Linked DNA regions of Ovis aries. The main gene of each other region encodes a partner of the protein of the gene in region 2 in a complex. Links are inferred from orthologs where the notes say so. Each region holds a gene or a part of one and is shown on either strand. Other genes may lie near its edges.

Region 1 (3,746 bases), on a different chromosome or scaffold from region 2:
CCATCACCAACTCCCGGAGTTTACCCAAACTCATGTCCATCGAGTCGGTGATGCCATCCAACCATGTCACCCTCTGTCGTCCCCTTCTCGTGCCCTCCCTTCTGCCCTCAATCTTTCCCAGCATCAGGGTCTTTCCAAATGAATCAGCCCTTCGCATCAGGTGGCCAATAGATTTACATGGAATAAAAATATCCATCTTGAAAGTAAATGAAGATTTATTTATTCAAAGTTGTAAATTTGATCATTATTATTCTGCTTCTTTAAAAAAATTATTTCTTTATTTTAATTGGAGGATGGATAATTACAATATTGTGATGGGTTCTGCCGTACATCAGTATGAATTGGCCATAGGTATACATGTGTCCTGAACACTCCTCCCACTCTCCTCCCCACTCTATGTACAGGAAATATAGAAAGGTTTAAAAATTGCATTACTTACTCCTTTTAGTAACAAACAACTTGGATTCAGATTATAAACAATTCAAATTAAAAAGTACAGCAACCTGTCACAGAGCCATGAAAATACATTAAGACAAGGTAAATATTATCTTTTATTTCACCTCTTGAAGAACTGTTTAGTGTTTTCAACAAGGTGATGTGATCACAGGTAATACGTTAAGGTAATGGGGACTAATGAGTGTTAGATCTTGTTTTCCACTTGTTCATTGCAGCCTGAAGTATTGGTATGTTAGAACCTCAACTTGTCTTTTTTCCAGAATCCTAATGTAAAGGCCCCAGGTCGGTACAGAGACCCTCCCACAGGGAGCCTCTTTCCCATCCCTCCTCCCTCTTTCTTTCATCTCAGAATCAAAAAGGCAGGTTCATCTAAACGTAAAGGAGATTTTGGTGAAGTCTATGAACCCCAGAACTTCAAGAAATGATTGGGATAAAGATGGTTAATGCTTTGGAAGGTAAAATTATACTTTTCTCTTTTTTTTCGTCTCTTAATAAAGTTATTCTTTTTTGGAGTCCTTTTCCAGTTCTTTGATTTCAAGCAATAGAGCCTATAAGGAAATGAGCATTAAAATACTCTGCTACAAGGAAGAGATCAGTAGGCATTCCACTGATTTTGGAACCAAAAACAAAGAAACCAAACCCCTATTTCCCCATAGATACTGGCTTCACCCTCCTCTGACTGAGCCCTGGTCTCCTGGGGTCAGACGCCTGCTGTGCGTATCGCTGGGGCAGTTTTATTTCCTCCACTCCCTTCCTGAGAATTCTGCCTGTGGTTAATGAGGCCAAAGGCTAAGCCTCAGCCTCCCATCCCACCCCTGATAAATACAAGAATGCTCGGGAGCAGGGACGGGAAGAGTTGAGAGAGTGTCTGTGACAAGGTGACCAGACGGTGATAGGAGAAGAGAGCCTGCTGGGAAGGACGGGCCCACAGCCAGGAGGACTTGCCATGCCCGTGGGCTGTGGGTGCTCACCAGGCGGCATGCGCTGCAGGGTTCACCCCGCGCTGCTGCTGCTCCTCGCGTTCCTGATGCTGGTGAGCAGGGACTGGTACCCACAACGTGGGGTTTACCTGCTGGGGACCGGGAGCTGACCGCACAGCTCCAGCTGGCTCTGCCTGTTCAAGGGTGGGGGAACGGGGCTGAGTGTGATGCCCTGCAGCTGCGGGCGGGGGTGGGGGGGTTGGGAGCTTTAGTACTTTCTTTAGGGAAAGAAGAGGGGTTCCAGAATTAACACCAAGGAGGGATTTGGCAGAGTAGTGGGAACAGGCTAAGACTGGTTTATATAGGATACATACGTTTAGATTTGTATCAATGCGTTTCCTAAGGACATTTCTTTTCACTTTACATAAGACTGAAAAAATCTCAATTGTGTATGTCGAAGAGGGTTTGAGCAAACCCATGGGGGTGGGAGGGCTAAATCCCCCTGCCTCCCCACCCTCTGCCCCTCACCAGTTGCCATGGCTCAACTCGGAAACAAACAGTAGAATCAAGACGGAAATGTCTGGGCTTGTTGCTTGTACTTACCGTGGACAGAGTTTAGGCTGCATCTGCCTGTGGGGCATGGCCGCTCTGCTCAGCCCGCTTTCCTCAGACAGAGAGGGAGAGCCATGGGGCTCTGGCACTGCTCCTGGGTTCTCCCTTATAAACCCGGCCAGGGCAGAGGCAGGAGGCCCTGCAGTGGGTGGGGGTCAGGATGGTGGATCTGCACTGCATCGTAACCTGGCTTGGCACCTGGGCTGTTGCTTGGCCTCGGTCCTCACCTTGGTTCAAGCTTGACTCTTCTCAGATGCTGCGAGAGTCCCAGTGCCCAGAGGCCACTCACCCCTGGATTCAGCAGAGCTGATCTGGGGATGCGGCCTAGGCATCTGGGTTTTCAAGGCTCTACCTTCATCTTGTTAAGCCTCATTGCCTCCATCTGAAAATGGAGCTACTGCAGGCACTTACTTGACCTGGGTGGCTGTGGGAGTCAATGAGGAAATGCAGAGGATCTTTTCTTGCTGTTCTCCGTGCCCTGACAGGATGGTTATTCTCTTCACTCAGTGCCTGGGCTGCTACTGTTGGTGGGCCACTCGTTCCGGGCCAGGTGCTTTCATAAGTGCTGGGTATTACTGTAAACAGAAGAGGAAACAAAAAGTCCCTAGTTGTCTGGCCAGCTCTGCTTCTGAAATTCGATGCCCTGTTCGCCACCCTTTGCTTAATGTTCAGAAATTTTTCTTGGCTACTTTGAAAAAAGTTTTAATTGGAGTATAGTTGCTTTACAGTGTTGCTACTTTCTGCTATATGGCAAAGAGAAAGAGCTAAATGTATACATTTAGGGGGGCATTTCATTCCTGTTCAGGTCACCACTGAGCACTGAGCAGAGTTCTCTGTGCCACCCAGTAAGTTCTCATTAATTATCTATTTTATACATAGTAGGAGAAGGCAGTGGCACCCCACTCCAGTACTCTTGCCTGGAAAATCCCATGGACGGAGGAGCCTGGTGGGCTGCAGTCCATGGGGTCACTAAGAGTCACTAAGGGCACGACTTTCACTTTTCACTTTCATGCATTGGGGAAGGAAATGGCAACCCACTCCCGTGTTCTTGCCTGGAGAGTCCCAGGGACGGGGGAGCCTGGTGGGCTGCCGTCTATGGGGCCGCACAGAGTCGGCCACGACTGAAGCGACGGCAGTAGTAGTAGTGTGTGGATGGCAACCCCAGTCTCCCAGTTCATCCCACCTCACACTCCTCCCCTTGGTGTCCATACATTTGTTCACTGTGTCTCTGTCTCTATCTCTGCTTTGCAAATAGGTTCATCTGTACCATTTTTCTAGATTCCACATACATGCATAATATATGACATTTGTTTTTTTCTTTCTGACCGCTCCTAGTAGAACTCTGTTTTAGTAGCCCACATTAGCCTGGATTTGGATATGTCACAAATCAAACCTTGTTCCCATCTTTCTCTTACTCTTGCTCCTACCCCTAACTGAACTCAAGAGAAAACAGAGCTGTCTGTTTCTCATTTCTGCGTGTTAGCACAGAGCCCAGGCAGGTTAATTCATGACTGAGGGTGTGGTGGGTGGGGTGGGCAGTGGGCAGCAGGGCTGGACTGTGGGTAGCAATTCAGTGTTTGGTGGAAGCAACTATATATAGATTCCGGGGATCAAGGCCAAGGGAGATAATGGGATAAACAAGTGTTCCGTGGTTTTGAGCAATCTGTACTCTGGACCCTCAATTGGAGAAGACCTTTGTGTCCAAGAGGTGCCCAATTTTTTGCTGAATTGGCTATAAGTAACCTATTCCTTTCAGCC
Region 2 (3,646 bases):
TGCACCATGTTCAGCAGAAGACAGAATTTCACTAGGGCTGTATTTTGAAAGGCAAATAAGGGGAGTAAAAGGGTGCAAAATAGATTGTACTGATGAAACAGAAGCTGGAATAGGAGTGAGACAAGGACCCAAGAGGCTGAGGGAGGGTTGCAAGTGGGGAGGACCAACCGGCTGAATATCCTGATGGACTCAAAGCATTGTTGGAAGTCACAGAACCAAAGGGAGCAGCTGACGGAAGGGATGATGGGGATGCTGGTTATGACAAGGACCAGGCAAAAGAGGCTAACTACAAGGCATCAAGAAACCAAGAGGCCCTGGGTTGGAAGGATGGTTCCTGAATTAAATCAAGACAAAAAGGAGGAACTAAACCAAGGCTGCTGCAGACCTACCCGTCCTTGCTCCCTGAGCCCTCCCAGGTGACCACACCCAGGTTCCATCTCACCACACCTGCCAGGGCCTCTTGTACTTACGATCCCACACAGCAGTAAGCACACAAGAAACAGCTACTACATGCCAGGCCCTGACCTGACCTCCAGTTCATCCCATCAAGCTACCAACACCATCATCTGCATCTTAGAGAGATGCGGGAACTTGCTGAGAGTCTCAGATGTGAGGAGGAACCCTGCTTCCACAGAACAGGCCCTGGATGTGCAGGTATCCTGGGGTGTGTGCAGTGCCAGCTCATTTAAAACCCCAAAGGCATTAACCTCAGACACTCAGCAACTCATGATTATTAATGTTTCTTCTATTCTCTGTCCGCATGCAAAGAACTTTGGAAAAACAGGGCTGCGTTTTGCCATCACTGGTGCGCTTGACCCAGGGACCCCTTCGCACCTCTGGGGGCCAGGCCTCCCTGAGCATGGGCTGCTCTCCAGCACAGCAGCAGGGGTGAACAAAGCAACAGGCTCCCCCAGATCCCCTCCCAACCCCCAGTATGTGCAGGTGACCCGGGCCTGCAGGAACACCCAGCAGCCAGCCATACAGTCCTTGAGCCATTCTTGTTGCTCCTTACCCCTGAGAGAAGTGCAGTAATGCCCAAATGTTGCTACGTTGCATACAGAATGTATCCAGCCTGATGCAACTACCTTAGAAATGGCTTCTGTTTCCAGCTGAGGGGGTAAAAAGGGGGACAGAACCCCGTCCGCCTTGGGCGGTCGGACTAGCAAACCATGAAGGTGTAACGGAAGCTTCCCGACAAGACTAGACTGTCAGCAGAGGCCAGCAGCCGTCTACTCAGCAGGCCTGCCTTCCAAATGCTGGCTCTGTGGCTACGGCAGGGCTGGCCCGAGCCTGGGGGTGACTCCGGGAGAGCTTGGCACAGGTCCTGCTCTCCACTTCCAGAGCAACACATTCATGTTCAAAACAGCGTGTGAGGCATCAACTGCTATGTGAGTCCCAGCCTAAGACACGGGATGATCACGGAGGAGGTGGTTTCTCAAAACCCTACTGTTCATGCCCAGGGGACCCCAGACACTGCCTCAGACGCTGAGAACTGCCTCTGGCTCAGAGAGGACGGGTCAAACGGGGCCCAGAGCAGGTGGCACTTCCCTTCAGCCACGGTGAGAGGGCTCGACACTTGGCCCTAGAGATCAGGAGCATCACCAAGGGCTGCACAGCCCCTCATCCTTCCCCTCAATACCCTTGGGCTCTAGTACCCTGCCTGCCTGCCACCCCTCTGAGGTGAGGAGTGCTCCATGTAAAGAACAGTTTCAACCTGAATAAAGGAAATATTCCCTTCTCTGAAATTCACTGAGGAGCCTTTATTTTCTATCACTGCCCTTTAACTCAAGAGGAAGCCTCAATTCATACTAGGTCCCCTTTTCTCAGCCCAAGTTTGGGCTCTAACTTGCAACTAAAAGTCATTTTAAACAATGTAATTAAACATATCTCTTCCTAACAGCCCTTAGATTCATGGTTTTAATATATTGCCAACACATCTGTTGAGTTCCAGAATGATGCATTGCTCAAGTTTAGCAAATGATAAGAAGGAAGCTGTTAAAACATCTGAAATGCAGTTACTCACCCTTATCATCAACACCGCTTTCCTGATGTCCCGGATGCCATCGTACACCAGGCGGGAGGCATCAATAAACTCGTTTTCATCCATGGGCTGGGCAGGGTCTGAGCTGAGGGCTTCCACAGCCGCTTCCACTTGCTCAGTAAAACGTGGCATGACTGCGGAGAAGAGAGATGATAACATCACCACCAGCCCTCCTAAATCCCTCAGTCAGATGCAGAGAGGCAGAGTGTATGATGAAGAGCCTCTGCTTCTACCTATGTGAGAGGTATTTATAGTTCAAATAAATTAAATGCCATATTTTACAAAGACTTGAATCCTCTTCTTTGTCTCTGGCCAGATTCTGGAACACAGGATTTAGATGGCTGAGAATTTGAATTGGGATTAACTAGAGGCCTTACTAGAATGGGACTCTCCTTAATTTAGTGTGTTCACTAACTAGAGATATAACTCAGAAGTTCAGAGTTCAGAACGACTCCCATTACTACCTGTGGGACACAAGTAAGGGAAACGTGTTTGTGTGGTCTTACTGTGGCTGACCAATGACTCATAAATCCGATGTACCTTCCAGAACTCTTGTCCGAAAACCAAACTGAGCCCCAGTGTCCTACTTCCTAACCAGAGGGCCATCTGTGTGTGAGGAGCACAGGTGAGGGAGGGGTCCCGCACCTGTGTTGGAGAGCAGCTTGGTTGCTTCCAGCACCTTCTCTGTGTAGACTCCTGGTTCATAGTTGTCCATCTCTGAGGTGACAACATGAATGACCCGGGCAGCCCGGCCTCGAATTGCACCAGCTGTGCGGTCTAGCCCATCCACATCTTTCTCTTGGAGAGCAATGACACATTTGTTCACGTCTTCCAAAATGTGATTCTCTGAGGAACAAACAAAAACAGCTGAATGAGGGAGGAGGCCTCCCACCAGAAGTGGACGATTTTAAGCTGGCATCTGTCACTCATCCAGTGCTCACTGCGTGCCAGCTACAGTGCCAAAAGCTTTGCACATCATTCACTCAAGAGACCAGACTACCCAGGGATCAACTGCCTGGAAACTGGACCTGCAATCACCCCAAGAATAACCATCTTTATTCCAGGTTTAGAAGAGACAGGCAGAGACGCCCATCTTTCAGAATCCTTGATAATTTCTTTCCCTTAAACAATTTCATTGATTTTATATCCCAAAGTCTAAATTAGAAGACAAGGTTCACTATTCCCAGTCCCTTGCCCCTCGCTCCAGGAGATGCCAGTGGTATTCAGACAAACGACCAAGACATCAGGACAACTCTGGAACATGAGAAGAGCCTGGAAGGCAGGCAAAAGCCTCGTGGAGTTGGATTTGGAAGATCTACCAGAACTGTTTTTCCTCAAAGACAAAGCTTGACCCTGGGTATTGGGAACCCCAGAATGAGGAGTTCACGTTAACCTCATCTATAATAGCAAAGTAGGAGCAACCAAAATGTCCCAGAACAGAGTAATAAATTATGGGCACTGGGCAGCCACTGAAATGGATGAAGATCTGCAGGGGCTGACCCAGAATGGGAAAGGGAATGTTCTCACCACCAGGAACTGTGCAGTCCACCAGCAGAAAGCCCTCATGATAGGGCTCACAACGCATGGGGCCGGTGGGTGAGCAAC

The links. The genes of interacting proteins can lie anywhere in the genome.
Region 1: CTNNA1 (region 2) and CDH26 share a complex: the UniProt entries of both Homo sapiens proteins name them as parts of the cadherin:catenin adhesion complex. The link is inferred for Ovis aries from reciprocal best matches to the Homo sapiens genes CTNNA1 and CDH26.

Annotation. Positions count from the first base shown.
Region 1 is NC_056066.1:56,278,274-56,282,019, reverse strand, and holds the start of CDH26 (cadherin-like protein 26), read left to right. Parts: upstream 1-1,304; 5' UTR 1,305-1,402; coding exon 1,403-1,489; intron 1,490-3,746. UniProt on the Homo sapiens protein: Cadherins are calcium-dependent cell adhesion proteins. They preferentially interact with themselves in a homophilic manner in connecting cells; cadherins may thus contribute to the sorting of heterogeneous cell types.
Region 2 is NC_056058.1:47,904,727-47,908,372, reverse strand, and holds part of CTNNA1 (catenin alpha-1), read right to left. Parts: intron 2,888-3,646; coding exon 2,687-2,887; intron 2,176-2,686; coding exon 2,024-2,175; intron 1-2,023. UniProt on the Homo sapiens protein: Associates with the cytoplasmic domain of a variety of cadherins. The association of catenins to cadherins produces a complex which is linked to the actin filament network, and which seems to be of primary importance for cadherins cell-adhesion properties.